Sus scrofa: one gene and its partners. The protein of the gene in region 3 interacts with the protein of the main gene of each other region in a pairwise test. Links are inferred from orthologs where the notes say so. Each region holds a gene or a part of one and is shown on either strand. Other genes may lie near its edges. The genes, in order: OTUD4, TFAP4, EXOSC8, SLAIN1, POLDIP3, DUSP23 and TXNDC17.

What was found.
Region 1: the proteins of EXOSC8 (region 3) and OTUD4 interact in binary tests that used the Homo sapiens proteins (3 or more experiments, as listed by UniProt). The two-hybrid records come from large-scale screens. The link is inferred for Sus scrofa from reciprocal best matches to the Homo sapiens genes EXOSC8 and OTUD4.
Region 2: the proteins of EXOSC8 (region 3) and TFAP4 interact in binary tests that used the Homo sapiens proteins (3 or more experiments, as listed by UniProt). The two-hybrid records come from large-scale screens. The link is inferred for Sus scrofa from reciprocal best matches to the Homo sapiens genes EXOSC8 and TFAP4.
Region 4: the proteins of EXOSC8 (region 3) and SLAIN1 interact in binary tests that used the Homo sapiens proteins (3 or more experiments, as listed by UniProt). The link is inferred for Sus scrofa from reciprocal best matches to the Homo sapiens genes EXOSC8 and SLAIN1.
Region 5: the proteins of EXOSC8 (region 3) and POLDIP3 interact in a two-hybrid assay, tested with the Homo sapiens proteins (2 studies listed by BioGRID). The link is inferred for Sus scrofa from reciprocal best matches to the Homo sapiens genes EXOSC8 and POLDIP3.
Region 6: the proteins of EXOSC8 (region 3) and DUSP23 interact in binary tests that used the Homo sapiens proteins (3 or more experiments, as listed by UniProt). The two-hybrid records come from large-scale screens. The link is inferred for Sus scrofa from reciprocal best matches to the Homo sapiens genes EXOSC8 and DUSP23.
Region 7: the proteins of EXOSC8 (region 3) and TXNDC17 interact in binary tests that used the Homo sapiens proteins (3 or more experiments, as listed by UniProt). The two-hybrid records come from large-scale screens. The link is inferred for Sus scrofa from reciprocal best matches to the Homo sapiens genes EXOSC8 and TXNDC17.

Annotation. Positions count from the first base shown.
Region 1 is NC_010450.4:83,260,956-83,264,769, reverse strand, and holds part of OTUD4 (OTU domain-containing protein 4), read right to left. Parts: intron 3,114-3,814; coding exon 3,056-3,113; intron 2,804-3,055; coding exon 2,686-2,803; intron 2,596-2,685; coding exon 2,531-2,595; intron 145-2,530; coding exon 50-144; intron 1-49.
Region 2 is NC_010445.4:38,054,076-38,057,889, reverse strand, and holds part of TFAP4 (transcription factor AP-4), read right to left. Parts: intron 1,489-3,814; coding exon 1,323-1,488; intron 1,217-1,322; coding exon 1,118-1,216; intron 730-1,117; coding exon 559-729; intron 21-558; coding exon 1-20.
Region 3 is NC_010453.5:12,819,796-12,823,242, reverse strand, and holds part of EXOSC8 (exosome complex component RRP43), read right to left. Parts: intron 2,778-3,447; coding exon 2,704-2,777; intron 1,529-2,703; coding exon 1,483-1,528; intron 824-1,482; coding exon 718-823; intron 636-717; coding exon 590-635; intron 1-589. UniProt on the Homo sapiens protein: Non-catalytic component of the RNA exosome complex which has 3'->5' exoribonuclease activity and participates in a multitude of cellular RNA processing and degradation events.
Region 4 is NC_010453.5:49,880,865-49,884,355, reverse strand, and holds part of SLAIN1 (SLAIN motif-containing protein 1), read right to left. Parts: intron 3,370-3,491; coding exon 3,214-3,369; intron 851-3,213; coding exon 568-850; intron 1-567. UniProt on the Homo sapiens protein: Microtubule plus-end tracking protein that might be involved in the regulation of cytoplasmic microtubule dynamics, microtubule organization and microtubule elongation.
Region 5 is NC_010447.5:6,172,818-6,177,249, reverse strand, and holds the start of POLDIP3 (polymerase delta-interacting protein 3), read right to left. Parts: upstream 2,808-4,432; 5' UTR 2,692-2,807; coding exon 2,633-2,691; intron 1-2,632. UniProt on the Homo sapiens protein: Is involved in regulation of translation. Is preferentially associated with CBC-bound spliced mRNA-protein complexes during the pioneer round of mRNA translation. Contributes to enhanced translational efficiency of spliced over nonspliced mRNAs.
Region 6 is NC_010446.5:90,720,037-90,724,232, forward strand, and holds DUSP23 (dual specificity protein phosphatase 23), read right to left. Parts: upstream 2,640-4,196; 5' UTR 1,858-2,639; coding exon 1,591-1,857; intron 1,058-1,590; coding exon 872-1,057; 3' UTR 619-871; downstream 1-618. UniProt on the Homo sapiens protein: Protein phosphatase that mediates dephosphorylation of proteins phosphorylated on Tyr and Ser/Thr residues. In vitro, it can dephosphorylate p44-ERK1 (MAPK3) but not p54 SAPK-beta (MAPK10) in vitro. Able to enhance activation of JNK and p38 (MAPK14).
Region 7 is NC_010454.4:50,734,343-50,738,889, reverse strand, and holds TXNDC17 (thioredoxin domain-containing protein 17), read left to right. Parts: upstream 1-1,580; 5' UTR 1,581-1,896; coding exon 1,897-2,041; intron 2,042-2,602; coding exon 2,603-2,684; intron 2,685-3,082; coding exon 3,083-3,158; intron 3,159-4,039; coding exon 4,040-4,108; 3' UTR 4,109-4,221; downstream 4,222-4,547. UniProt on the Homo sapiens protein: Disulfide reductase. May participate in various redox reactions through the reversible oxidation of its active center dithiol to a disulfide and catalyze dithiol-disulfide exchange reactions. Modulates TNF-alpha signaling and NF-kappa-B activation.

The DNA of each region.
Region 1 (3,814 bases), on a different chromosome or scaffold from region 3:
GGCTGAATGGAACAGACAGTGAATGCCCCAGTGGAAGAGCAATACATACTTCTTTCCAAGTTCCTCGACCAAAACCGGCCCGTTCTGAGAGTGAACCCCTTGAAAGTCGGCATTAGAAAATCTTCCGTTGTGCTCCAGCCTAACCTGTTAAACAGTCCACAAAGAAAAATCAGTCACCTGAATCTCCCACATTAATTATCAGTTTTTAAACCGTTATTTCATTTCTGAGTGAAGAGAAAATGAACATATGCTATGAGTTCAAAAGAGTGCACAGTATTGTCTCTGACCGCCCAAGACCTCTGTACTGCTCTATCCAAGATAAAACACTCTTCTTTGTCCTCAAAGTTTTTCAATTGTCCTGGTTCTGAAGACAGGGCTATGGCACCACACACTGGGTGGGATTCCAGGTCCGGCTTTTCTACTCAACAGCAATAGGACCCTGGGCAAGTGACTTATCTCTTGCTTCAGTGTCCTGTATGCACAACGGGGCTAATTACAGGACCTCCATCACAGGACCCACGGAGATGGAATAAGGCACCTATGATATATATATAAAGGCACCAGCTTGCACACAGCAACCACTCAACAAAGAAGAGCAACTATTATTAGAATTACTATTATCTCCTCACTCTTGCAATATTTAAAATATTAAAATATGTAAATGTGACCTTTTTTCTCCCTGAAAATAGATCCATCATGTCTTCTCTAATATACTAGTGGTTATTACACAAGAGCAAATTGTGACAGAAGAGTAAGCCTTTAGGCTCCCTCCTGCAGCCAAGCGGTACACACTGCACAGGGCACTGCCCGGCACTGCCCCGGGAGCCGGAGGTACACACCCTGCTTCAAGCAACCTCCTCCTCCTATCAGCAAAGGTGTCCCTCGGCACTGGTTCCAGTATCTCCCTCAGATGCTCAAGTCCCTTACGTAAAATGGCACGGTGCAGAGGGCACAGTCCATGGCCACAGAGCAGAGGGACGGCCTGACAGCAAGTCAAAGTCCTCAAGCTGAGGCTTCATTCTTCAATCACAGCAGAACACTGCTGTCCTTTCTTCAAGTGTGTACAATAAAAAAGAATTTTTCTGAAGTTAGTTTTTAGTAAAAGTTTAAACTATGTTTACACTATGCTGATCTGAGTAAATAAAAGTCATCTTTGGGTCATAGCACTTTCCATAATAAAATTTCAATTACATTTTAGCCAAGTGAAATAGCCAAGTGGTATAAACAGCAACGGAATACTCTTAAAAAGAAAAACATTAAAACAAGTATCTGCTTTACCACTGACCTTATCAACAGCCATTGACTTTACAAAAGCAACTGAAACCTCAAAGGAAATATGCTTGACTTAAACTAACAACACAATTTTAGTGATGTAGCAATAAATAAACAATCTCCTCTCCTCCACTAAGTGGGGGCGAGGAGGGAGGGAGCACCTGGATTTACTCTTTTAGTCTCTTCCAAGTTTTCCCAATCACTGCAGTAAAAGATTCTCCAATTCTGTTCTGTAATTAGCACACATTTCTGACAATCCTATAAGGAAAACTAAATGAATCATACCGTCTTCCTTCGCTCCTTTCAAATACCCTAAATCAGAACACTATGCTAAGTTCCTAAGGTCAAGTCTGTCACTGACAGCCAAATACAATCCCATTCCCCAGATACTTTTCACAAACCACTTTTTCACAAAGGAAATGGGGTCTCTTCCATGAGTCGAGAAGAAATATTTGTCAATGGCTATTTTAGTTTTTAAAAGGAAACACTTTTTGATGGAGATCACTTTTGATGAAATTTATCTTCCAAATACAACTATTTTATAGTGTGTGGGCTGTTTTTGTTTTAGAAAGAGTAATTTTTTCATAAAAGTTTCTCTAGTCTTATCATTTTAACACTTTGGCTGGAAGGGAGAGCTGTGCTGTGTGTTCTAGGATGTCTGGCACTGTGCCTGGGCTCTACCTTCCAGATACCAGTAGTACCTTCACAGCTCTAACATGTCTGCAGACACTGCTACATGGGAGTTAGGGGTGCAAAATCACTCCAAATAAGAACACTGATCTAAACCCACCCGTTTAAGCCCAGAGATGTAGCTTACTCAAAGTAAGTGGCAAAACTTATTGTCATTTTCCTCTCTCATTCCAACAACCACAAAATTATGTGATCTATCAAAATCTTACAGATGACTTTCATAAACCAAACTGACCTATAATGTCAAGCTTGAATCAATTTCAGTAAATTTGTCAACTGTAATGAAAATATGTGAAAATCTAAGATGTTACTGTTACTTCTTTGAAGCAAGTAATATCAAAGGCTGAATTAAGTTAAAGATCATGTGATAGGATGCCATGATTTAGATACATGATTTTGGTCATGTACTGAAAAGCTACATAGCTGCTGTAACTCTTAAAAAGTACATCCAATAAAAGATATTCTGAAATCCTAAATTAATATATCCAAACTTCAGCTGTTTTCTTGGTTCCTATTAGAATAAATACATTTCAAGTACAATCTTTTCTTCCTCTAGATAATCACTTACCTGGCATTTATCTCCAACTTCATACTGTAAGCCAGCAGCAATGGAATAATCATGTTTTTGTTGAGCTGTAAACGGTATCAATAAAATATCAAGTTAACTCACTTTCAAACGCCACAAAACAAATTTACAGAAAATGCACAGATTTTGAAACTCACCTTGTTTAGACTTCAGCCATATTTCATATTCCACATTTCTATAGACTGCTGGATTGAGTGACTTAAGAACCTTTCTAGACAAAGGAAGGCTGGGAGAGTTCCCATTGCTTTTCGGGTGCTAAATAAACAAAGTCAGGAAGTCCAATCAACACAGAAACGCTTTTAAAACATGTTTGAGATATGCATAAGAGTAAAATTAAAAGAAGAAAACTTTAAAAATTAGGAAGTCACCAAAAATGTCTTACTAATAGATGATCCTGACTCTATTGAAAATGTACCAGAAAAGGGAAAAAAAAATAAGACTATAAATTCAGATGCTTTCTGGTATGGGAGAATTAGTTTAAAACCATTAAAAAAAAAAAAAAAATACCTGATCACTTGACAAAGCTTTAAATCCATACACATCATTAACAGCGGTGGTTTTACTCCTACGAAGAAAGAAACAGAGCCATCATGAGGAGTACAAAAATGTTTGCATGTAATTAACTTAACTTATTCTAACCTCATTTAAATCTCAGTTATATTCCAAAAAGCCAAACCTATATTCCAATGAGCTCAAATTTTAGTTGTGTGCATATATATGTACATGTATGCATGTGTTGATGTACACATATGTGAAAGATCTTTATCAGTAATTCTTACTGACTCAATCAAGACACAAAGGAAATAAACTGAAATTTGGGTTGGTAGAGTAACGTTTAATTTAAAAATTTCATTTCAAAATACAGACAAGCCTCCATTAAATAAATTATTCCACTCCAACATGATATATTCCACTGAGAGTAGATACAAACTAAGTAAGTAATATGTTAAATGCTGATAAGTCCTTTGGGGAGAAAAAGGATAGTAAAAAAATGAGTGTTGAGACCTAGACTCAAATAATAAAAGTGACATAAGGTAAGGACTTGCTGTCTTCCTGAATAAAAAATTAAAGATGATGAAACAGCAAACCATATGGCTACTCAGTAGTGTAAGCAGACGGGGCAGCAAGTAAAGACTCTGGGGTAGCCAACAGGCTGGTGGGCTGGACAGAATGATGGCGGGTTGAGTGAGTGAAGAGATGAGAGGCAACCTGCACTCTGTCATCCAATTCCTTCTCCTTAATAAATCAATCTCCAGACTTCAGGAC
Region 2 (3,814 bases), on a different chromosome or scaffold from region 3:
TGGGCCTCCAGCGAGCGCACCTGGCAGGGGAATGCAGGCTCAGGGGCAGGGCCCGGGCCACACCCTGGCGCCTCGCGCTCCGACCGAGGTCGGCCTGCTCGCTCCTCCTGACTCCTGCTGCAAAACCCATCAAGCAGCCTGCCATCCTCACCACCCTCGGGGTGGAGGACAAAGTCCTCCAAAGTCCCGCCAGGCCCGCCCCATGCCATGCGCCCTCTCTGTCCCCTCCAGCCCCAGGCCTTTGCCCAGGCTGTTCCCTCTGCTTGGGCAGCTTTGAGACTCCCCCTCCCACTCTCAGCTCAGGTCACTTCCGGAGACGCTGTGGGGCAGCCCCTCTCGAAGCAGCCCGGATGCCCACCAATCCGGTGTGGCCTTGATCACAGCTGCAGGGGCATCCTCTGCCTAATCTCCCCCAAAGCAGACAGGCCTGTCGGCTCTGCTCCCCACCGGACACCCCGCTCCGAGGCGTGGCACAAAGCAGGCGCTCCTGGAAATAACTGCTCAAAGGGAGGGCAGGCCAGAGCCAGCCAGCACCCCCAGGAGGCCCGCCCACCTCACCTGCTCCTCCAGCATCATGCGCACCGAGCGCTCCTTGTCCAGCTGCTGCCGCAGCTCGATCATCTCCCGCCGCAGATCCTCCGCCTTCTCGTCCTCCCAGATGTCCGGGGAGCCAATGCCCTCATCCTTGTCCTCTGCCCGCCGCCGCTTGGGGGACGAGCCGCTCAGCTCCTGGGGACCCCAAGGGGGTGGGTGAGTGTGCCGTGGCAGCACATCCACCACCACCACCACCACCACCACCAGGATGGGACAGGAGCTCCACGGCAGCCCCCCAAATCTGTCACACCCAGCTAGAGAGCCCCTTTTTGCAAATCCAACAGACAAAGGCCAGAAAAGGAGGCAGAATGGACTTGCTTCCTAGAAGTCAGGGGTTCCGTCCAGAGTCTACTCTGCTGCACCGGATGATGGCTAAACTAGGGCCCAGGCCGAGGCAAGGGCTGGAAGCAGGCAGGTCAGCAGAAAGAAGGGCCCTGTAGCCACATCCCCGTCCCAAGCCAGGGGTTGGGCCCAGACACACACATGCCAGGCGAAGGGCGCCGGGAGCAGGGCAGGGCCCTACCTGGATAAAGCGCTTGAGCTGTGTGTTCTGCTGCAGGAGCCGGGTCTTCTCCTGCTCCAGGGAGAAGATGTATTCCGCAGTCTGCTGGAGAATAGCTGCCTGAGGGCAAGAGGGACAAATCAGGAACCCCGGCGGACAGGGTCTCCTGAATCTCCCTGCTCCAGCCCCCCACCTCCTCCAGGAAGTCCTTCTGGGCCTCGCCCACCTTGCTGAGCTTCTCTCCATCTGTGTGGGGGATGAGGGTCTTGAGGGACTGGAAGCCCGCGTTGATGCTCTGCATGCGCCTCCGCTCGTTGCTGTTGGCGATCTCCCGCCGAATCCGCCGCTCCTGGTCCCGCTGAGTCTCAGGGGTCAATGGAATGTTGGCAAGGCTGCAGGAACAGAGACAGACTCAGGCTCGGTGCCCAACCACCCCGTGCCCTGGCTCCAGTGCGCCCCAAGTATAACCTGCAACCCTCCCGCTGCAAGATATCAGCTGTCTGATGCCTACACCCGCAGCAGATCCAGGGGTGATGAAGTGTGTGCTCTGGGATGCCTGGGTGTGAAAAATGGATGCCTGGATGCCAGACCCTGGGGTCTGGACAGCAAGGATTTATTTATTTATTTATTTATTTATTTATTTATTTATTTATTTATTTATTTATTTTGGCTTTTTAGGGCTACACCCAAGGCATATGGAAGTTCCCAGGCTAGGGGTCAAATCAGAGTTGTAGTCACTGGCCTACGCCACGGCCACAGCCACGCCAGATCCAAGCCGCAACTGTAACCTACACCACAGCTCACAGCAACGCCGAATTCTTAACCCTCTGAGTGAGGCCAGGGATCGAACCTGCATCCTCACGGTTGCCAGTCAGATTCGTTTCCACTGAGCCACCACGGTAACCCCCTGGCCAGCAGGTGTGTGTGGAGCCCAGAAACCTGCGTGGCTAAGAATCCCTGTGATTCCGATGCAGGTGGCCCGACCATAATCAGAGACACCTGCTCCTGGGCCACCCCCAAACTCCTTGCTCTACACCTGGACCCCTCCTTCAGGGTCGCAGGCTTGAGGACTGAGGCAGCTGTCCTTCCCCTCTCAGCCTCACAGCCACAAATTCCCAGAAGCCCCCAGCCCGGCCCCAGATAGTTCTCCCCCAAGCCCACCCACCCCAAGATGCAGGCCCACCCTGTGCCCGAGAAGCGAGGCTCCCAGCACGCAGAAGGCAACATTTTGCATATGATGCGGCCGCATCTTGCCGGAGCAGTGGCCAGTGGGGTGAGAGAGAAGGCAGCCAGCAGAAGGCGGCGAGGCTGCCGGCCCGAGGGGCGCTGGCGGGAGGCAGAGACGGGCCCAACGCCACTGCTCCCCAGGGGTGGGCCTGTGTGTGGCCCGGAGGAGGCAGGCCCCCCCTTCCAGGCCCTCTCCTGTAACTCCCCCGCCCCGGCCTGATGGCTTCCAGATGCTGGGCTCCCAGAAGAGGCCACCGGCCCCACCCAAAGCCACAACCCTGGCTTCTTCCTGAGGGGCCCTCCTGGGGTGACCTGGACCAGGCCTGAGCCAGCATGGCTCACACCCCTGGGTCTGGGGGACCAGCGAGAGGATCCTGGGCAGCCTTGTTCCATTGATGGAGGAGCCTGGGCTCAAAGAGGCCCAACTCCAGGGGAAAAGGAGCTCGCTGGGAAACGTAGGAGGGGCGCACATCTGCAACAGCCAGAGAACTTTCCTGGCCCCCTGGCCCACCCCGTCTGTCCTACCTAAGCTCCCTGAGGGATCCCGGACTGGTCCTGGCCTCTTCCTGGGTCTCAGAGAGGGTGGTCAGCTGGGGATGGGCTGGCAGCAGACTGGGGACATCGGCCACCACTGGGGGTCCAGAGCAAGCCCACTCCTCCACAGCACCTCCAGACTTTCCCTGAGACCGCCCCCCGAGACACAGCTCCCTCTCAGCATCGGAAAGGGGGCCCATGACCCCCCTTTATAAATGGGACTTAGAGCTCAGGGCAAGAGGGACATAGTTTTCAGGTCAGACAGCTGGGCATCTGGCTCCCCTTCTTCTGGGCCAGGGGTACGTCACTTCTCCCAGTTTCCCTGCCCCTATGGGGGGCAGGGTGTGTGACAGGATGGCAGATGGAGGAGAGGGGGACAGAGGTCAGGCACCTGACATCCAGCGTCTTGCCTGCCTTCTGCAGGGAAGGAATGAGCATCAGAACTGAGCCCAGGCTCCCAGGCCTGGCAGTCGGTGGATTAAAGAAGAGAAGAGAGGAGTTCCCATCATGGCGCAGCGGAAACAAATCCGAATAGGAACCATGAGGTTGCGGGTTCGATCCCTGGCCTCGCTCAGTGGGTTGAGGATCCAGCGTTGCTGTGAGCTGTGGTGTAGGTCGCAGACACGGCTCGGATCCTGCGTTGCCATGACTCTGGGGTAGGCTGGCAACTCTAGCTCCAATTTGACCCCTAGTCTGGGAACCTCCATACACCTTGCGTGCGGCCCTAAAATGCAAAAAAAAAAAAAAAAAGAAGAAGAAGAAGAAGCAGAGGGAGCTCCTGCTATGGCACAGTGGGTTAAGAATGTGACTGCAGCAGCTTGGGTCAGTATGAGGCTCAGGTTTGATCCAGTGGGTTAAAGGATCCGATGTTGCCACAACTGGGACCTAGATTGGATTCAACCCCTGGCTGGGGAATTTCCACATGCCATGGAAGCAGCCATAAAATTTTTTAAAAAA
Region 3 (3,447 bases):
AAACTTAAAACTTTAAAGTTTAAAAAAAAACTGTACAGGTTGGATAAAAGCTGACTTTTTACTACCAAAAGCTGACAGGTGAACATCTCCATTTCACTCAAGGGAACTACAATGATGAAGGAATTACTTCTGAAAATTTAAAATGTACTTTACCATAGAAACCTCAATATATGAAACTTTTAGATCTTAATGCTTAATACATCAGTATAATCAAATAGGAAAAGCCTCTAGGTACTAGTCAACTTAGTTCAAAGTCTCCAAACAGACTTTTGGAATTTATACTGTGGATTCACCTCAAACACATGTTAGCTGATCAGACAGTAATAATCTGCTAGAAGAAATTTTAAAATGACTTATTTCTGTAAAAGGGGAGATTACATCAGCCTAAGAGGCATATCCTAGCCAGGTACTGAAGTCATCAAAATTGGTTGTTTAATTTTTTTACCTTTTTTTAGTGAATTCCATCTAGAATGGAATCTAGTAAAGACATCAGTATTTAAGGCTACTGTTTTTTGGGTTTTTTTTTTTAATTTTTCCCACAAAACCCACCAGAATTAATAAAAGGTCATAGCCTCTTTATTCCTCTTACCTTTCCTGGAGAAATGCATAAGTCCTCTTTCTGAATTATCTGTGAACTTGATTTAAAGACAAAGAGCATGGTAAATAAAAGTTCCAACGCTCTAAAATGAATGATAGATTTTATCAGGATGATCTTACTTTTCAATGACATCTGCAATGAACTGGCTGGCCACTTGGGCCTCTTCTCCCGGAGGGCCAGACCGAAATCTCCAGGAACACAGAGGTGATAGATCCACATTAGGAACTGAAAAAATACTGCAGCTATGAACCAGATTTCATCTCTGATTTAGTGATAAAGGTATTATCAATCCACTGCAAAAGCAACTAGCCATGGAAAGCACTGTAAAACATCACATATATCTTTTCATCTTTGTAATAAGAATCCTGGGCTTAGACAAAATTTGTATTTTCCAACTGTTTTCCACACAAGCAATATCAAAAAAAGTATATTTAGGGCCTTTTTCTAAAGGCCTTTCACTAAAGTTCTTATATGTCTTTCAAAATGCCCCAAAGTGTAACAGAAGATAGCCCCCCTCCCCAGTCATACCAAGTGTTACGCATTTTTAAAATGTTGGTTCTCATCATAATGAAAAGATGGTCCAAGAAAAAAAAAAAATCACATGGTGGTATGAATAAAACTTTATGGAAACAAAAGTTTGTAATTATAGCCTTTGCCTAAGATTTTATTTTCTTGGTTGATGACATCTATACAAAAACTGATCAAAAAAAGATACTTATAAAATTATCTTGCTATTATGCTATCTTCTAACATATACAAAAAACTTTTCAGGAATGTCTAAAGCTTATGAATACTCTTCAATTCACCTACTAAGATTTAACTATAACAACAGTATTAACTATGTTAAAATATTTGTATTAAAATTACAAAACCATTTAACTCACCAATATATCCTTTATCAGGAGCATCTGTTGGTGGCGCTCCAAATTCCTGTAGAAGTAAACAAATGTTTCCTATGAAAGAAGCTGCTAAAAAATTGAGAAGGCAGCAGTCAGTTACGGAAGGCTCTTCCGTCTTAGCTAGTTAACTACATCCTGAGCATCTCCTGTGCTCGGGAGGGCGTGACAAGGGCTCTAGGGCCACTGGCACCACTCCTTACAAGTTCTGCAAGGCCAGAAGGCAGTAGAGCACAGCTGACTGTCGTGCCACTCATCAAAATTACTTGGGGCTCGTTAATTGGATTTCTGCTCCACCCTCTCTTCCACTTATTCAGCAGCCAGGACTGAATTTAAACCTAGGGATACTGACACAGCCAGATTTAGAAACTGATGGGAGGAATCAAAAGCAAATGTCAGAATCACACTTTGTAGCTCAGAGACTTTGAGGAAGTTATTTAACCTCTTACCATTCAACTTCCTCATTGGTAAAGTGGGAAGTTAATAGGGCCTACTTTCAGAAGATGTTAATAAGGGTCAAATGAAATAATATTAAATCCCTGACATAAAACCTAAAAAAGAGTAAGTGCTCAAATCTTGTTACATATCACTGCAACCTTTACTGAAAAAGAACCTGAACTTAGATTAAGCAAATTACAAAGTTCAGGATAGTCAAAAAAGCAGAGACTTTGGAGTTAGTTATGTCTAAATTCAATTTATGAGCCTTATGTTCCTAGACAAGTTTTTTGAACCTCATGTAAGATAGGAGATGAAGAGAGAAATATTTCAAATAATTATTCTGAGGTTTAAACTGGCTAATTTTTTAAAGCACCTAATATAAGGTGCCCAGGATATAGCAAGTACTCAGTTAATGGTGGCTATTACTCCCTCAAGCTTTTCCTTTAAACAATTTTCTACATGTTTGCACAGATTAAATGCCATCCCTGCATAAAAAGATGTCACCCAAAATCCCTCTTAATTTCTCAAATTACAACCAAATTTTTAAAAAATTAAAAGTGGTGAGGGTTTTTAAAAAATTTCATTTCAGCACATTTGCAAATGTTCATAAATTATAATTGAGTCATTAAGCTTGCGAAATGAAAACAAATACTAAAAAACTGACATCTGATCACCTCATCACCAGAACTATAGGTGTATATTACAATCTAATAAGTGTATGAACTAATTTGGTAACTCAAATCTTTATAGTAATATACACAATAAACTTACTGCTTTAATTCCACAAATTACTGTAGTATTTCCCAGCTTCACTAAAGAAGAACCATCTGCAGTACCAATTGAACCTGAAAAGATAAGTATTTAAACAAAATGAAAAGCACTTTTTTTTTTTTTTTTTTTTTGGTCTTTTGTCCTTTAGGGCTGCACCCACAGCCTATGGAGGTTACCAGGCTAGGGATCCAATCGGAGCTGTAGCCGCTGGCCTACATCACAACCACAGCAACACCAGATCCAAGCTGCGTCTTCGACCTACACCGCAGCTCATGGCAATGCCGGATCCTTAACCCACTGAGCGAGGCCAGGGATTGAACCCAAAATCTCATGGTTCCTAGTTGGATTTGTTTCCGCTGCACCACGATGGGAACTCCTTTTCATTTTCTATGTATGGTTTTATCTTGCTACATATCTCATTTGTTTACAAAATTGTATTCCTTGAGTCTTTTTAAAATTATAGTTGACCCTTAAACAGCATGGATTAGAACTGCACCAGTCCACTTATACAGGCATATTTTCAATAAATACTACTACAGTACTACATGATCCACAGTTGGTTGAATCCTTGATGCAGAACCCGAGATATGGAGTACCCATTGTAAAATTATACTTGGATTTTCAACTGTGTGAGGATTGCCACCCCTAATCCCCTCGTTGTTTAAAGGCCAACAGTACCATTTTAGGAATTATTCATGGAGTTCCCGTCCTGGAGCAGTGGTTAACGAATCCGACTAGGAACCA
Region 4 (3,491 bases), about 37 Mb from region 3:
ACTTCCATATGCTGCAGGTGCCACCCTAAAAAAAAAAAAAAAAAAGAACATTGATTCAAAAAAGATGAGCAGTTCTTCCCTGCCCTGGGAATAGTCCTTGGCATCAGGGGTGTACACTAGTCCCAGAAGCAACTACCCCGCTTCCTGCAGCTTCCGTGCTACTGGGAAGTCAGCCCAAAGTCGTTAAGTAGGTGGTGATAAAGGCTGTGGGTAACAGATGGGGAAGGGGACAGGGAGGAATTTGAATTTGCAGGAGCTGCAATCCTGGAAGGAGGCACCACCTGAGCAAAGATCTGAAGGAGGGACAGTGGGCCATGCGGGTGGGGCTAGCTGGGAAGTTAAAGCAAAAGCAAAGAGTGGAGTGCTGCAGGAGCAAGGGGAGGTGGGATCAGACAGGGGCGGACCCCACAGGGACAGCCCCTCCCCACCACCCCCCAGTGTGCCAGAGGCGGGACAGACAGCTGGGGCTGGTCTGGGACAGAGAAGAAGGTGAGGTGGTTCCCAGAGCGGTTTCTATTCTAATCGCACACTGCAGGTGAGGGTACGGAAAAGGACACGGGTTCTCACCTTCTGACGGGTTGTGCAATTTTGCTCCGAGGCAGGTTACTCCCATTTATTGCCAGAGAGGGTCTTGGGAGTGCGCTGCGGCCCATTATGCCAGAAGCTGCGGCTTTGCTGGGGGTGGGAATCCCCGTGGGAGAGTAGAGCTGGAGGCCGTTGGACAAAGGCAGGCTACTGCTGCCTTGCACAGTTGGACTCACATAGGCTGTGGCTTTAAGAGGCTGTCGGACAGACACTGGGAAATGCCCCACACTGTGGATTCTGTGCTGAAGCTGTCCTGGTGACGGAACTGGGAGAGGAAAGAACATGCACATGAGAGAAAATGTCTACACTACCTACACTGGGCTACGTTCAAAAAAGCTGAGACTACCTGTCTGCAAGGGTTATGCGTGTGCATAAGTATATACTGTGTGTATACACTGTGTGTGTAAAGACAAATGCAATACGGGCTCCAGACTGCATCTTGTTTTGGAAAATTCTACTTCTTGACAAGAGTCTACTATGTCAGCAACATATCTGAGTGCCTGACTATGTTCAGAAGCCAGCGGGAACCACGACTTCCTTGCCTTTGACAAACGCGGTCATCTCTGAGTTCTCCCAGGATTTCCTTCTTGCTCGCTTGGGAGACACTGGGATTTCTCGATGGGTGCACTGGGGATGTTTCATGAAAATAAGGGGACAACGTCATGGCAATAATTACAGAAAGGAAGACAGAGGTGGCTTCAGTAGGTACAAAAAGCTTATAACAGAATAGTTCTTAGAGTATTTTCACCATGACATTCACTTATCTCGAAGGGTTGGTGGGAAGACTAAATGAGTCAATCCACAGAACGCCTTGTAGCGGCCCCTGGCGCTTAGTGACTCTCCACAAGTGCTGCTATTATTCTCTTGAAAACAGCAGCAGAACCTGTGAAATGAAGGGAGCTCTCTGGGGAAGAGCCCTTAAAAAGTTCATCAATATGCTGGCCCAACACTGAGCGCTATTTCACACTGGAAAATAATGAACTGGTTTGTTTGTTTTAATGTTTATAATGCTCTTCTCCAGAGGAAAAAATCTGAATCACAAATTTAACAAAAACTTGTACATACAATGCTGCTGTTTGCTTACTGATCACTCTAGCCTTTGCTGCCAAGTACAGCTGTGGTTCAAATGAAACAGAAACAGACCGGACCCTATTTTCTCAAATAGTTTAACTGGTTTTGAACTTATGCATAAAATATACACTAGGTATCTCTTCTATAAAAAGAAGTGGGGAGAAAGACAAAACGTCTGTGGTTTTACTTAATATCTCTTGAAAATGTTTCCTTAAATTAGTTTTGCTCAAGTATGTATTAAGTGACATCTACATGTAGGAATGCTGATGTATGAGTATAGTACCCAAACATTCAATGAAAAATGAGGTCCATGGAAGAGTTGGCTCTGAAACCTATCAAGTTTGGGGCACAGGGAGGTCGTGGCTCACCGGAAACAAACCCAACTAGTATCCATGAGGATGGCCTTGCTCGGGGGGTTAAGGATCTGGTGGTGCCATGAGCTGTGGTGTAGGTCGCAGACGTAGCTCAGAACCCGAGTTGCTGTGGCTGTGGTGTAGGCTGGCAGCTGCTGCTCTGATTTGACCCCTAGTCTGGGAACTTCCATATGGTGCAGGTGCAACCCTAAAAAGCAAAAAAAAAAAAGTTTGGGGGACACAGTGAACTTGTGCTGGTTGCTATGTCATCTCTAGGATCCTTTCTAGCCATGACTGTTTCAACATATTGGCTCATCAGTTGCAACAAACGTACCACACTAGTGTAAGCTGTTTAAAATGGGGGCAATGGAAGGAGAGGAAGGGGGAATGTGGGGGCTATATGGGAATGATATGCTTCCCACTCAGTTTTTCTGTAAACCTGAAAGTGCTCAAAAAATAAGTTGTAAGTGAATAGGGCTACAAACCACTCACTCTGGGTGCAGATTTAAGGTTGCTGGCCCTTGGCCAGCACCCTCTGAACACATTCAGGCCTCTCGGGTTCAGGTGTGTCAATACTGGGACTGTGACCTTGACTCTGCCTCCCAGGGGGTCAGGCTCAGACTTAAGCCCAACTACCCATATTGACAATATGAGCAGGAAGATGGGAATTTTGCCCCACAGAAGTGAAAATGCACATAGACTGAACTCACTGAGCTGCTCGTTACTGCGTAGAACAGATGGAGAATGAATGACAGACTGAGGGTCAAAATGAAGTAGTTAAGTCCTAATTTAGACACACAAAAATATAACTTCATTTGTGGGGAAAGGCTATGGACTGATGGCAAACAAGGCCAAAGTGACAGCTAGACAGAGTAAGTGTACTTTCTTCAGAGTAAAAATATCAAGTAAACAGCTAGAACGAGGCAGATCTGCAAAGAAAATATTTCTGTATGATGAGTGGACGAATCAATCAATCACCATTTGGTGCTTCTGCTGTCTCTGGATATAAAGGATTACAGATAATTTACTCACAGTGACATAGGCACTCTTGAAATACTACTCAATTATAATAATGAAATACAAAAAAGTCAAAAAGAAAAAGTTTCCTTTTATGTTCTTAAGAGAAATGAAAAAGTAAGGTATTTTTCTAATGGTGTTATAGCTGATTAAAAATTACAAAAGAGTGAAAAGTTGTCATACTTACTACAAGACTGTATTCTTGAAATTCCATTTGCAGCTCCATGCAAGCTGGAGTCAAAACTCTGACTATTTCGCACGGTAACTGGGGAACTAACGTTGCTACTAACGGCAGTGGTACTTGGCATCCGGGCTAGATTAGGCATACTTCTTCGGAGCTTATCTATAAGAGAAAAGAATTTTACTAAGTTAACAACCACAGGTTTTATACCAATTAAAACACTGTATTTCAGGAGTTCCTGTTGTGGCTCAGTGGGGTAAAGATGTTTTCTCCTGAGGACGCAG
Region 5 (4,432 bases), on a different chromosome or scaffold from region 3:
CTGGCTGAAGTACCGCAAAAATTGCCCCCCCATTTCATATTAACCATCAACCTTTTGATGACTAACCGGGGGCCAGGCAATAAGGACAATAAAGACACCTTTCCTGACTTACACAGTGGGATGAACACAAAACAGAATGGCTGCTCTGAAGAACAAGCACATTCCGCCACCAGTGGGAAGAGGGTATTTACACTCCCTTCGGCTCAGTCTTTTGCTATTTGCACTAAGAAGAGAAAAGAAGTTTTCTGAGATGCTCACAGGTTCTTCCTAAAATTATGAAGCACAAAGTTCTCCCTGGGACACCTATGCAACTTTAAACCAAAGTTTCCAGTAAGGCGATTTCTTCTAGGAAGCATGTAGAATAGCATTTTATACTGTAGGAAAGGACACTTGTTCACTGATATTTGTTCAGATCTTTCACAGTCCTTGACAGGGAACCCTCCCGCCCCAATCTAGTTTTGTTGGCTGTGCAAGTAAAATAAAAATGGAGTCTCCAGCAGGTTTAACCCAAACACAGGAGGCAGTCCAATTTCTTCTACACTAGTCTCTTTGCCTACACTTCCCCAATCCAGTCTTCATGTGCTAGCAAAGCAATATTTTCACACTCAAGAGATTGCGTGTTACTTCTTTACTTAAAAACCTTCAATAATGATGACGACGGTGGCGAACATCTCTTGAGCACTTAGTATCCATCAGACGCTTTTTAAAGTACTTTATTTTTTAAAGTACTTTAGATACATTACTTCACTTAGTCCTGAAAACACTTAATGAAGCAAAAGTCCATGTTTTATAGATAAAAGAAAGAGAGGCCATGGAATGGTTAAGCAACTTCTGTAAGATCATATGAAAAATGGGAGAAGCAGGGATTGAAAGTTGGCAGTCTGACTCGAGGACCCCAATGCTTACCTGTTATGTCCCCTGGGAGGAGGGATTTGGGCTTCTTTAAAGAAAGGTCATCTGCTGAACACTTACAACCTGGTACAAACTTTTAAATATACATTCCTACATTCTCATATGCAATCTTCTCAAGCACCTACCAGCAACCATTATTGCAAATGAGGAGATCGACCAGCTCAGAAGTCATCTGACCGGGGAAGCATGGAACCCAACAGCAGGGCCTACCATGAGACCAGGTCTGTCTGGCTGCACACTCCCCGCTCTTCGCTCTTCCCATGCATCCATTTGTCTTCCCTTTCCTGCATTCCTACCCTACGGCCAACACAGACTCTGCACGCATCGACACCAAAGTACAGACCGCCTGCAGTGACTGCAGGAAGCACCTGTCCTGAAGCTGGCTCCTTCAGCATCTGTCCAGCAAACCTGTGAAACCTGGATGGGTCTGGAAATGGCCAGAGGACCAGCCCCAAGTCCACACCAGTTCTTGGCAGACCTAGGGAAGAACTACTCACCGATAATGGGAGAGGAAATTAATGCTGTGTGCCTATTATGAACCAGAAGCCAGATGAAATGCTGGCTGGTGAACTGTGTGGGGCTGGGGGGCAAACGTAGTGGATGGATGTATGTGTTGAGGGTCGGGGGATAGTAAGGCAGAGACTCTATTTTCTGGTCACAGGCACTTTTCATAAACATCTACTGAGTGAATGACTGTCTGAGAAAACAGTATGGAACAGCCTGGCCGTTTACAAGGACATCCGAGCTAATTTTCCGTGTGCTGGAAAACTCTGGGCCAAAGCTCCCACTTTTCCATACGGGTGAACTGGAGTTCTTACAGGCTGGAAACGACGAACCGTACTCGAGGGTCTAGAGGAGGGCGGTCTCAGAGCTGCACGTCGTCTCCGGGGCTCGCCACCCAGATACAGAACCGCCTTTTCTGAGCACCATCAGCAAACAGCTACCCTCCAGCCCCATCTCCCTTGATTTTCTGCCCAAGCCTGAGGCCACCTCGGCCAGCTCAGAACGCGCCTTCAGTCCCGGTCTCAGCCCTCCGGGACTTCGGGGCAGTCACTCCACCTCTCCCAGCCTCCAGCGCCCTGTCTGCAGAACGGGGAAAGCACGAAAGGCTGGCCGACAGGACGGCCAGAGGAGCTAATGAGACCGTGTGGGCCCGAGAGCGCTCAGACTCGGAAATACCGCTCCCGGGAGGGGGGGGGCGGTGTAAACAGACGCGAAGCCGGCGCAGGACTTGGAAACCTGGACCAGCTCTGGGGCTGGGGCTCGGCTTCGGCAGTAGAGACCGGCAGAGCCCGAGCAAGCCACTGCCCCGCCAAACTTCGGTCGTCCTAACTTCAAGGCCGCGCTGGGATCGCGGAGCAGCGCCGGTCTCCTCAGAGGAGGGGCTGCGCCGGGGCGACCCCGGGAATCCCGGGCCGCGGGGGACGGCCCGTCCCTCCGCCCCCCGCGCCGCTCCCACCAGCCCCGCAGCGCGGCCCCTCGGCGGCTGCGGCCCCTCCGGCCTCCCTTGGCCCGCGGGAGCGACGGCACCTCCAGCCAGTGGGCGGCCTGGCGGCCGGGCCCGCGGCGGCGGCGGCGGCGGCGCGGCCAATGAGGAGCGGGGCTGCGGCAGGGGGCGGGCGCAGACGGCCCTCCGCGTCGCGCCCGGGCCGCTCCCTCTTCAGCGCGAACCCCGCGAGGACTCAGGCCCTGAAACCCGAAAGGAGAAAAGGCTACTCACCGCCCCTTCGCAGCAGCCCCGCGCTTCCGGATGAGCTCGTCCAGGGAGATGTCCGCCATCTTGCACCGCCGAGCAGGCCGCGAGCACCTCAGGGTCCCTCGGCCCCCGAGCCCGCCCCTTCGGCCGCTGTGGAGCAACTAGCGGCTTCCGGCGTTCGGCTGACGAACTCTCGCGACAGATTAGGCCGAGCAGGGGCCGGAAGAGGCGGGCCTCTCCCCGTGAGCCTTTGCGAGGCCAGCTTCTGATTTGCATACGGGGGGTCGTATCCCTGTCGTTTCCTACCCTCTCCGAGGACCAAATAAAATACAAGGAGATATGAAAAACTAAATGAGTAAGACAAACGTCAGCGGGATGAAGTTCTCGGTTTAACGGTCAACTTTTATATTCACCGTATGGCTAATGAGAATGGGATTCCTTACCTAGGAAGTATGGACGTTTACATTTTTATGCCTTAAACTTATGAGTAAGGAAAATAACGATTCGGGGTGACGCCCGAGTCCTCACTGCTAATGTGAGACGAATTTTTGAGCGGGTAAAGGTCGCCCCTAAGGTGACCCGCCTACTTTGCGGGATGCCTGGGAGTTGCGATCTGCCCGTCCCCCTTTACACTTGAAAAGCAGACCAACTTTGACGAACATGGAGGATTAAGTAGTTGTGTGTTATTAGATTTCCTGAACTCGGAACTGATTCGTTTTTTGCTTTGTTGGGGTTGAAAAAAAAAAATGGCAAGTAGGGCGGAAACTGTAGACACTTTTAGGCTCTGCGGTCTTCAGAAGCAAATCGCGTCACCTTTCTGTGCCTCGTTTTTCCTGATCTGGAAAGTCGGGCAAGTAACAGGCGGTTGCGAGGATTAAATGAGGTGCTCGCCACGTGGAATTGCCTTTTCCTTGATGCAATCGCAGCCTCCACTTCTGACCCCGGCATGAGGTAGGTGTTCAGTATGTCTTTGTGGAGTCAATAAAAAAATACGTGCAACCCCTTTAGAACGGTGCCAAGCATGGACTTCGTGCCCAGTGAGTTACTACTGCTGTTATTTACTAAGTCCAACGTGCTCTTGACAGACTATCCCACCATGATGAAAAATCTGGCATCAGAAAGGCCGTGGAGAAATGAGCTGGTAAGGGCGGAGGGTCTGGGATTGGGCCCCCGCCTGAGGAGGGGAATCCAGGTCCCCCTGCGCAGCCGTGACCGGGCGCGGGCTGGTCCTCCTTGTCTCAGCAGTAAAGTAGGACCCTTGAGTGCTCCCTCCTAGAGGTGCAGAGGCCAAGACCCAGTGCCTGGCGGGAGGAACCAGGAGGGACCAGGGCGCTGCAGAAGTTAAGGCCTATCACGCCTTCACACGAAATAAATGAAGTATAGAGAAGTCAGTTAAAATTTTTTCTTAAACTACTGCAATCGTAGGGTGGTTAGCTGCTATCATTTAATTCTCTGATTGTCAGTGGGGCGGCCCTTTGCCAGGGGCATTTCGGAGCTTTGTGGGGTGTGTTTGGTTGTCTGGACAACATATCCAGCCACGTGAAGGCGGGGACTGGGGCGGGACAGCCCTCTGGTCCTCCCAACGCTGCCAATACGCCAGGAAGGCAGGGCCCCTCACAGTCCTCTGAGCCAGGGCTTCACTCCATTTCTTTCTTTCTCCCTTCCTTCCTCCCTCTTTCTTTCTTGTTTTTTGGCGTCTAAGTTCCCAGGCCAAGGATCGAACACACGCCACAACAATGATCCAAGCCGAGGAATCCTTAACCTGCTGCGCCACAAGGGAATTCCCTGTTCCATTTCTTGTGTGAACGTGCAGGACTTCCTGCC
Region 6 (4,196 bases), on a different chromosome or scaffold from region 3:
TAACATCTGAGAAACATGGCCAAGATTCGTAGCCCTGAACGTCTTCATTTAATCATCAACTATCCCCTGTGTATCTTCCCAGAGAGGCTGGGTCCTGGCACCGCTCAGCCTGTGGCTTGTGGCTGTGGGGCAGCACACTGTGCTGGAGGTCATAGGTGAGCCTGGAAGCCCACGGCTGGGGAGAGGCGCCCAGCCCCTGGAAGATGAAGATAGGGATTATCTGTGAGCAATGCATCCTCCTGGCCTTCTCTTAGAGGGTGAAAGGGATGGTGCATGTGGGGTATGTGGGCCTGGACTGAGGGGCTGGGTCCAGAGCGGTCCTTCTGGCCTGCAAGCATCAGAGACCAGAGTGCCAAGATCTGTTTCCTTTTCATTGACCAGCATTTGCCTACCTCCCAACCAAGAAACATCAAATATCATCAAAGAGCAGATGCACAAGAGTTTCAGCATCTTAAGAGACTGAAAATGTGTCTTCTTGTGCTGGCCCACTTTCCAGAAGTGTGACCGTCGGCCATTCTGAGCCTTTGTCACCTCATCCAAAGAACAGGGATGGCCCTTCTGCCTTTCCTGTCCCACAGGGCTATTGTGAGGCTCAAAAAAGTTGCTGTGTGGAAGCACTTTGTAAAGTGCTATGCCATGTGAGCTGGTTCTTTATTTATTCAAGGCAGCAGCAGAGGAATCCCCAACATCCATGCAGCTCCAGCCATCCCTCCTACCAGGACCTGCCTGCCGGGAAGGAAGAACAACTTTAGTCTCTTGACCCAGCTGGACACTGGAGGGATTAGCACTTTTAGTCCACGTGAATGTCTCTGGCCCCATCTAACGCACAGGTCAGGGCCATGGGGGCCCCGCAGAATGGAGCTGAGGTCCCTTATTTAGTTCGCTGGTAGAACTGGAAGACTGCCTTCTCCTGCTCGTAGGTCTCGATGGAGCCGGGTCGGAGGCGCCGGATCTCAGCGATGGCGTCTCCTGCAGCCAGGCGCCGCTCCTTGACCAGGTAACAGGCCAGCATGGTGCCAGTGCGGCCAAAGCCCAGGGCACAGTGCACTCCCACCGCCTGTGAAGGGGGAGCTGGAGGAAGTGGAGGCCGATGTCCTCCCACCACTTTCCTGCCCCTCACTTGTAAAATACAGCCAGGTTTTAAAGATGTGGGATAGCAAAGAATGAAAAATCTGGTTAAGAATTTATTTTATATTGATTACACGTTGAAATGATAATATTTCGGACTTAACTGGGTTAAATTATATGATCAAAATGAATTTCTTCTGCTTCTTGTTTAACTTTTTAAAAAATGCAGCTCCACTATATGTGGGCAGAACCTTACTCTGGAGACTGCTCACCCAGCTCCTGACTTCAACCCCCGTCTCTTCCAAGCCTGTCAACTCACGTTATGGGGTTCTTCGTTTTCTATACTCATCTCCTTTTCTCCATTTACCCCTCCCTCCTCCGCGTTTGTCTAGGTTGCACCTGTTTTCTGTCCCCGTCAGCCGGTCTTCCTCCAGTCTCTTTCCGCGACCTCCCCTGCTTTGCCCGTGTCCTCGCTGACCCCTCCCAGGCCCCTCCCTCCCTGCGCTGACCCCGCCCACTGACCTCTCCCCGGGCATTGGCCTCGTCCACGATCTGCACGAAGCGGTCAATCTGCTCTGGGCCTGGCGGGCAGAAGTCTGGAATGCGCAGTCGGTGCAGGGTGAGGCCGGGGCAGCTGTCGTGGTGCGGAGGCCCGCGTTCCGTCAGTGACACCAAGTGCCGTACACCCTGGTCCAGCAGGAACTGGTAGTGCGCGGGGAGCCGGGGCAGCGCCAGCCCCGCCAGCCGGCCGGGGAGCACCCACGAGAAGTTGGGGGGCTGCACGACCATGGCTAGGAGAGGGCACAAGACAGCTGATCATAGGGGGCGAGGCCGGCCGGTCCCGCTCCGCCCTCCCCCCCTTCCGGTCCGTGGGCCTGGTAACTCTCCGCCTACCAAACACTGGCGCCTCCTGGGACCACGTGGTCTCCAGGACTCGACCTAGGGTGCGCCCTGCTCCGCCGCGGGGGATTGGTGGAGCCACTTGAGGGGCGGGGCTAGGGCGCTGAACGCTGAGCTCGGAAGACTGAGAGGAGCGATCCGGTCTGGCCCCAAGCAGGACACCAGTTGATTGGCTGGATGATCAATAATGGGCGGGATTACTGCTGCGGTGCGCTTGGAGATTGGTGGACCATGCAAACAGCCAAGCAGGAAAACCTAGAGAGAATTCAGAATTGTTTGCTGTGGAGTAAGGAGCCCGGGGTCAGGCTCTGCTGCTCCCTGGCGGTGGAAGGGCGTTATTGCATCACTGACCAGCTTCCCTGCTGCCCAAGGGCCTGTCCTTGTCTTACTGTCTTCAAGATTGGATGCCCAAGGGTTTATGAGATGGCAAATCTACATCCGCTTTGGGGGGAGGAACCTCCTCTTCAGTGACTCTGACAAGTCGTTATTGGTGATTTTATGAACTCGTCTAGTAAGCGGGAATCTGTACAGGGAACTGTTCTCATTTTCCATTGCTGGAATTGGTTTTTAAAAATGAGAGTTGCAGCCATCTGGTACTCTGAAGTCTTACCCGGGATAGTAATTATTTAAAATAATAATAACAACATGAGAACCAATAAACTGAGCATTTACCGTGTGCCAGGTATTATTCTAAGTACTTTACATATTATTTAATTACATATTTAATTTGACATATATTACGACTTATTTAATTAACATATATTAACTTATTCATTTAGTCAATAATCTTTTGAGGTAGGTAAGCAAATTAACTCTCTTACAGATGAGAAAACTGAAGCTCTGGAGAAGTCCAGGAACTTGACCAGGAGATGACTAGTGGCGGATTTGAAACCGAGCAGCCTGGCTCCAGAATCAAAATGGTATTGTATTCTAAAGTTAAATGGAAGATTACTGCCTCTTTACATAACCCTCTTCAAACCCCTTAGCCGGGTTTCAGGATTTCTTAGTTTCTCTTCACAGCTCCTGATTTCCAGGTGCTCTGAATCACTCTTCCTTGGGGAAGCTTGAGTTTATCTGTCATTCATAAAAGGTGGAGAACTAGATGTGAACACAATGTCTTAGCTGTGATCCGACTGGTTCATATCCTCATTTGAACAATGTGCTCCTAGTGATGCAGACTAATTATAATTATGAAAATAGTTAACTTTTGTGAATTTATTTGCTTATGTACCAGGCCCTATGCCAGGTACTTTCTGGAAGACCCTCAGAGGGGAAGGTATTTTTGTATCCCTTTTGCACATGAGTCATCTAAGGCTCAGAGAAGTTGGTTACCTTGGCCAAGCACACATAGCTAGTGAGCCGCTGGACTGGTTGAGCCACGGTCTCTGTCATTCGAAGCCCCGGCTCCTTAGCCATGAAGATGGACTTCCCTCCCTCTGTCCCCACCTCCCCCTGAGACACACATTTGGTTCCAGCAAAATGAAAAGGAATTTTTCTTCCCCCAAAGGTTGAAGCCTGCTCTGACCCTGTGGAAAATGCACTTACCCTTTACCCAGACGACTCTGAAGCTTTACCGCACCTACTCTCCCCACGTTCCAGGAGCTGTCAAATCAACCCTTTCCTCCCCTTCCTGACAATCACAGCCCTGATTAAGTCCTTCCTGTCTGCACTCCCATTTCCTACACAACTCCCTGTGACTCTTTCTCGCCTATCCCAAGTTATTCCTTTCCCCTCTTCCTACTGTGCCTTTCAGCCTCCAGTTGTACCCCCAACCCCCTGCAACTTCTCTTAATCCCTCACTCGGGGGTTTCTGGTTGCATGGCCCCTGGAGACAAGACCCCAGCCCTTGCTCCTTTCAGGGTGACCCTTTCTCAGTTCCTTTGCCTGGCTCTCCTTTCTTGGCTCCCTCCACTGTCAGAGAAAAACCTCCACATCTCTCCCCACCCACTCTATGCCCTTTGCCGGCCTCCTTGAAACCCAGCTCACAGCCCATCCTCAGAGGGAAGATGTTTCTGGAGGAGACAGAGCTTCCCGGTGAGCCTTTGCAGGGGTCGAAGTCCATCCATCCACCCACCTGGGCTTCTTTTGTAGGAATTCCTCCCCTGTCTCTGCTGCTTGGCCTCTGGCTTCCAGTTTTGGTCCCAGGTCCCCGCCTTGGTCTGTGTCTCACTGACAAGGATACTATTGAGCTTCTGTCTTGGGCCCAGGAAACCTCACATTGAAAGAAA
Region 7 (4,547 bases), on a different chromosome or scaffold from region 3:
CTGAGGACCCCCATGGCCTCGGGCACCGCGGCAGCCTGCACCCTTCTCCATAAGCCTGGGGTATCCCCGCAGACTGCCTCCTGTGCCAGAGCCCCAGGCACCTGCACTGACTGCTCTCTCCCCCACAGACCCAGAGCGCCCCCATAGCCTAGCTCTCCTTCCACAGACCTGGGTACCTCCACAGCCTTGGGCCACCCCATGGCCCCAGGCACTCCCACAGTCAGTCCTTTTCCCCGAGAGCCTGGGGCAACCCCATAGTCTATCCCTTCTTTGGCCCCAGGTACCCCCACAGCTTGTCCCCTCCCTGGCAGGTTTGGGGCAATCCCAGAACTGGCCTCCATAGCGCCAGGCAAAGCCACAGAGGGTATCCTCACAGGCTGGCCCTGCCCACACACGACTGCAGCCCTCTCACAGCCTGCCCCCAGGCCCAGAGCTATAGCTATTCCTGAGTCCCCGGGGGCTGCCCTACCCTGCCCTTTCACCCAGGGTCCTGTGAGACCACCACGGCTGGTTTCCACCCAGGAAGCCCGGCCAGGAATCCCCCTTTCAAGCAACCCCTCTCCTGCAGGCACAGGATGGAGTTCGACTCTGCTTCCTTCCCCACATCCCGAAGCTGCCCTCATGGCCTGCACCTTCAACCATAGCTCCAGAATGCTCTCGTGCCCCATAGATCCCGGGCGACCTTTTCTCTCACAGCCCCGAGGGCTCCTATAAACCGACTCTTCCTCCTCCCCACTGCCAGTCACCCACACAGAGCCGACAGGCCCCACCACCTGGGGTATCCCTACAGCCCCGTTCACCCATACAGTCCCAGGGTCCCTTGCAGCCTCCATAGAGCCTGCAGTGCCAGGTGTCCCCGCAACCTCGTTCGCCCCGGCGGCCTGGGCTGTCCCCGCTGCTTGTCTTCTCCCCCACTGTCCCCGGCAGTCCTGCAGCCTTTCTGCACTCACACAGCGCGTTTGCCGCACGGAGGACCTCGCCCAGCGCTTCGCTCCACGGCCTCCAGTGGTCCTTGAACCCCATCTCTTCCCCCACGGCCTCCGGACTCCACGCCCAGACCTGCTGGGCCCCACGCAGCGGCCCGGCGTTTCTGCGGCTGGCTCGCCCCCGCGCAGCCCCCGCAGGGCCCCCTGGCCAGCCATCCCGCTCATAGCTCCAGGACGACTCACGCCTTCCCAAGGCAGCTCTGGGGCACTTCCTGTCTTGGCACCAGCTCCCAAGGCGGCTCCCCACACGCACTCACACTCAGCTCTAACCCTCGCAGCCTTCCTCCCTCACAGCCCCCTGCCCCCGCCCTGTCCCGGACGCCCGACTAAAGCCTCAGTAGAAGAAACGAAAATTAGAGCCGACGAGCGGCAGGATCTGCCCCGGGCCCAGGTCTCCTCTTCCCTACGTCTCTGACTCCTAACGCAGCTTCCCAGAATCCCCCCAGCTCTGGCCCGAGCCCACCTGGCCTGGGGCTCGGCGCGGCTACCGGGAAGCGGGCAGGGGGGGCCGCTATTAGGCCTAGCTTCCGGCCGCTCGCCCAGTCGCCATGGCAACAGGCGCAGGGTGGCTTGGGAGCCGTTAAGGCTCCGGAGCCACCTAAGGGTCCAGGGGCAGCGCGGCGGCAGGTTTTGCAGCCACCGCACATGGGGCTAGGGCCGGGACTGGGACCATACTGGGGCAGAATCCGGGGGCTGTGGGCGCAGCCAGCACGGAAAGACCTGAGACGTGAGAGCAGAAAGATGGTGACGAGTTAGGGCCATCGGAGGCACCCGTAGCACCTCAGAGCCTGGCTGGCTCCCTCAAGTCCCCGCCCACCCGGAAACAGCTTCGCTCCGCCCCGCAGGGGATCGGTCCCAGCTGCGGCGTGCGGCCCAAGACACCTCCCGCGGTCCCAGGCCCGCTTTCCCGATGGCCCGCTACGAGGAGGTGAGCGTGTCCGGCTACGAAGAGTTCATACAGGCTGTGAAGCAGCACAATGGCAAGACCATTTTCGCCTACTTTTCCGGTTCTAAGGACGCCGAAGGGAAAAGCTGGTGCCCCGACTGCGTGCAGGGTGAGGCCGGGATTCGGGTCTCCTGCCTAGAGGACCTGGCAGGAAAGCTGAGGCTGTGGCCATTGAGCAGGGTGGAGAAGCGGAGGGAGTCTTGCTCCCGAGTCCCGCAGAGCGATCTGAGCTGTCTTTTGTCTTTTCCAACCCTGTACCCGACTCTCCTATTAAGTCCTTTCCCACCCCGCCAAGAGTGCTCTTCTACCATTCCACTCAGGTAATCTTAGAATCTAGTCCTTTGGAACTTTTAACTTCCTTGATTAGTGTCTTACAGGAGACACGAGGTGGTTTCTTTTGGATGTCAACAAATATGTCTTTCGTTTTTCTGGGCTCCGTGGTGTGGGGACAAATCAGGACTTAAGAGTTGGTCCTTGCTCTTTTAAAGTGGCTCTCAAATCAGAAAACAGCACCTGACTTCTGTTAACCTCCTCAGTTAACTGCAGGTTAAAGTCTGAGTACTTACCAAGCCTGAGGGGAGAGGCGAGAGGGGCACTGTTTATCAGTGCTGATTGTACTGTTGGTGTGTAATTATTTTAATTTTTACCAACTTTTTTTTTTCTTTTAAAGCTGAACCAGTTGTACGAGAGGGGCTGAAGCATACTGTTGAAGGATGTGTGTTCATCTACTGCCAAGTAGGAGAAAGACTTTAGTAAGTGGCCACATGTACTCTATTTCCCAGACCTAGGTAGGAACGGCTTTGGGACTCAGACTCTGAGTTCTAAGGTATAGTCGGATAAGTCAAGCAATCAGAATATATAAAATACAAATTAAAAATCTGAGTGATCATCCAGTTGTATTAGGTAGGGGTAATTCAATGAATTTGCCGTGATGTTCCTTTGGAACTTAATTGTCTTTACATTTATATTTTAGTATATACTCACGTGAAAACTTTGCACAGGGGAGTAAATCATAGAGTCAAGGTCTTTAAAATGTTCACAACAAAAACAATGATTACTAGAAGACTAAATGTAAGAATACATCAAATATTTAGCAGACTGTAAGAAACCAAGTAAATTTTTCATGATCACTTTTCTTTTTTTGAAATAGTTGGAAAGATCCAAATAATGACTTCAGGAAAAAGTTGAAATTAACCGCAGTGCCTACACTACTTAAATATGGAACAGTGAGTATCTTTCTTTAACTGTGCTGGGGATACAATTCACCCTATCAACTCTTTTAACTTGTTCTGGATTCAAATTTGAAAAGACCTTGACATTTCATCCCAAATATCATATTGCTCTTTAGCATGGATTCATAGCACAAAAGCTGTCTATCCCTATGGCCAGTCCCAATAAATTATTAATAATGCAAATATTAGCTCTTTCAGTGCTTTCTTAAAAGCCATTCTTTTTTGTTTGTTTGGCTGGGGTTTTGTTTTTGTTTTTGCATTTTAGTGCTGCACCTGTGGCATATGGGAAGCTCCCAGGCTGGGGATCGAAACGGAGCTACAGCTGCCAGCCACAGCCATGCCAGATCCAAGTCACATTGGATTTCTACACCACAGCTCACAGCAATGCCAGATCCTTAACCAACTGAATGAGGCCAGGGATCGAACCTACATCCTCATGGATCCTAGTCAGGTTTGTTAACCGCTGAGCCACGAAGGGAACTCCCAAGCCATTCTTATTTTTAAATTCGGTAGGCACTGCTGAACAAAGTTGGTTAACATATAATCCCTTAAAAGAGTGCCATCAATGTTGCTTTCTCTTTAATCCATAATTCTTGATGAAAGGGCACCTCTAGTTAAGTCATGACCCTGGAATTCTGAATTGAAGAATTAAGGGAAAGGGGGGACACTGGGCTTGCTGTCTCCTGTTTTAGTCCAGGGAGCCAAGAATTTTAATGATTTACCTTAAAGCAAATACCTTAACTATTTCATAAAATGTGTTACAACTAGTTGATAATTTCTGTTCCAAGATCTGTGTCATTCAAGGCAGAACTCATTCCCCTCCTAATAACATTTTTGTAGTGATGGGTTAAAATAAGACTGTTCTTCTTTTACAGCCTCAAAAACTGGTAGAATCTGAGTGTCTTCAGACCAACCTCGTGGAGATGTTGTTCTCTGAAGAGTAAGATTTGATGATGGCAATTGTGTCTTGATTTCCTGATTTGCTCTAGTATAAAAGAAACTGCACACTTGCTTTGAATTCATGTTAGCAATAAATAAATGATGATTAAAAGAAAAACTGTGTATGTCTAAATAATAGAGAGTACAATTAAAATGCTCATGAACCCTTAGTCTGCTTTAATATATGGATATGTTTGAACTAAGGATAAACTAAGTCTTCAGGAGTAGCAGTAGTAGCCCAAAGGGGAGGATATTATTGGAGATGGGCAGAAATATCTAAAAGCCGCTGATAGTGAAGAAGATAGTTTCCAGACTTCTAAAGAAGTTAGGATCTTTTACTTTAAATTCCATGAACTTACAAAAGAACTGTTATCCTAAAACATCTTTGGCTTTAGAATGTAGAACTTAATCTAACCACTGAAGGATAGCAAGGCACATCTAATC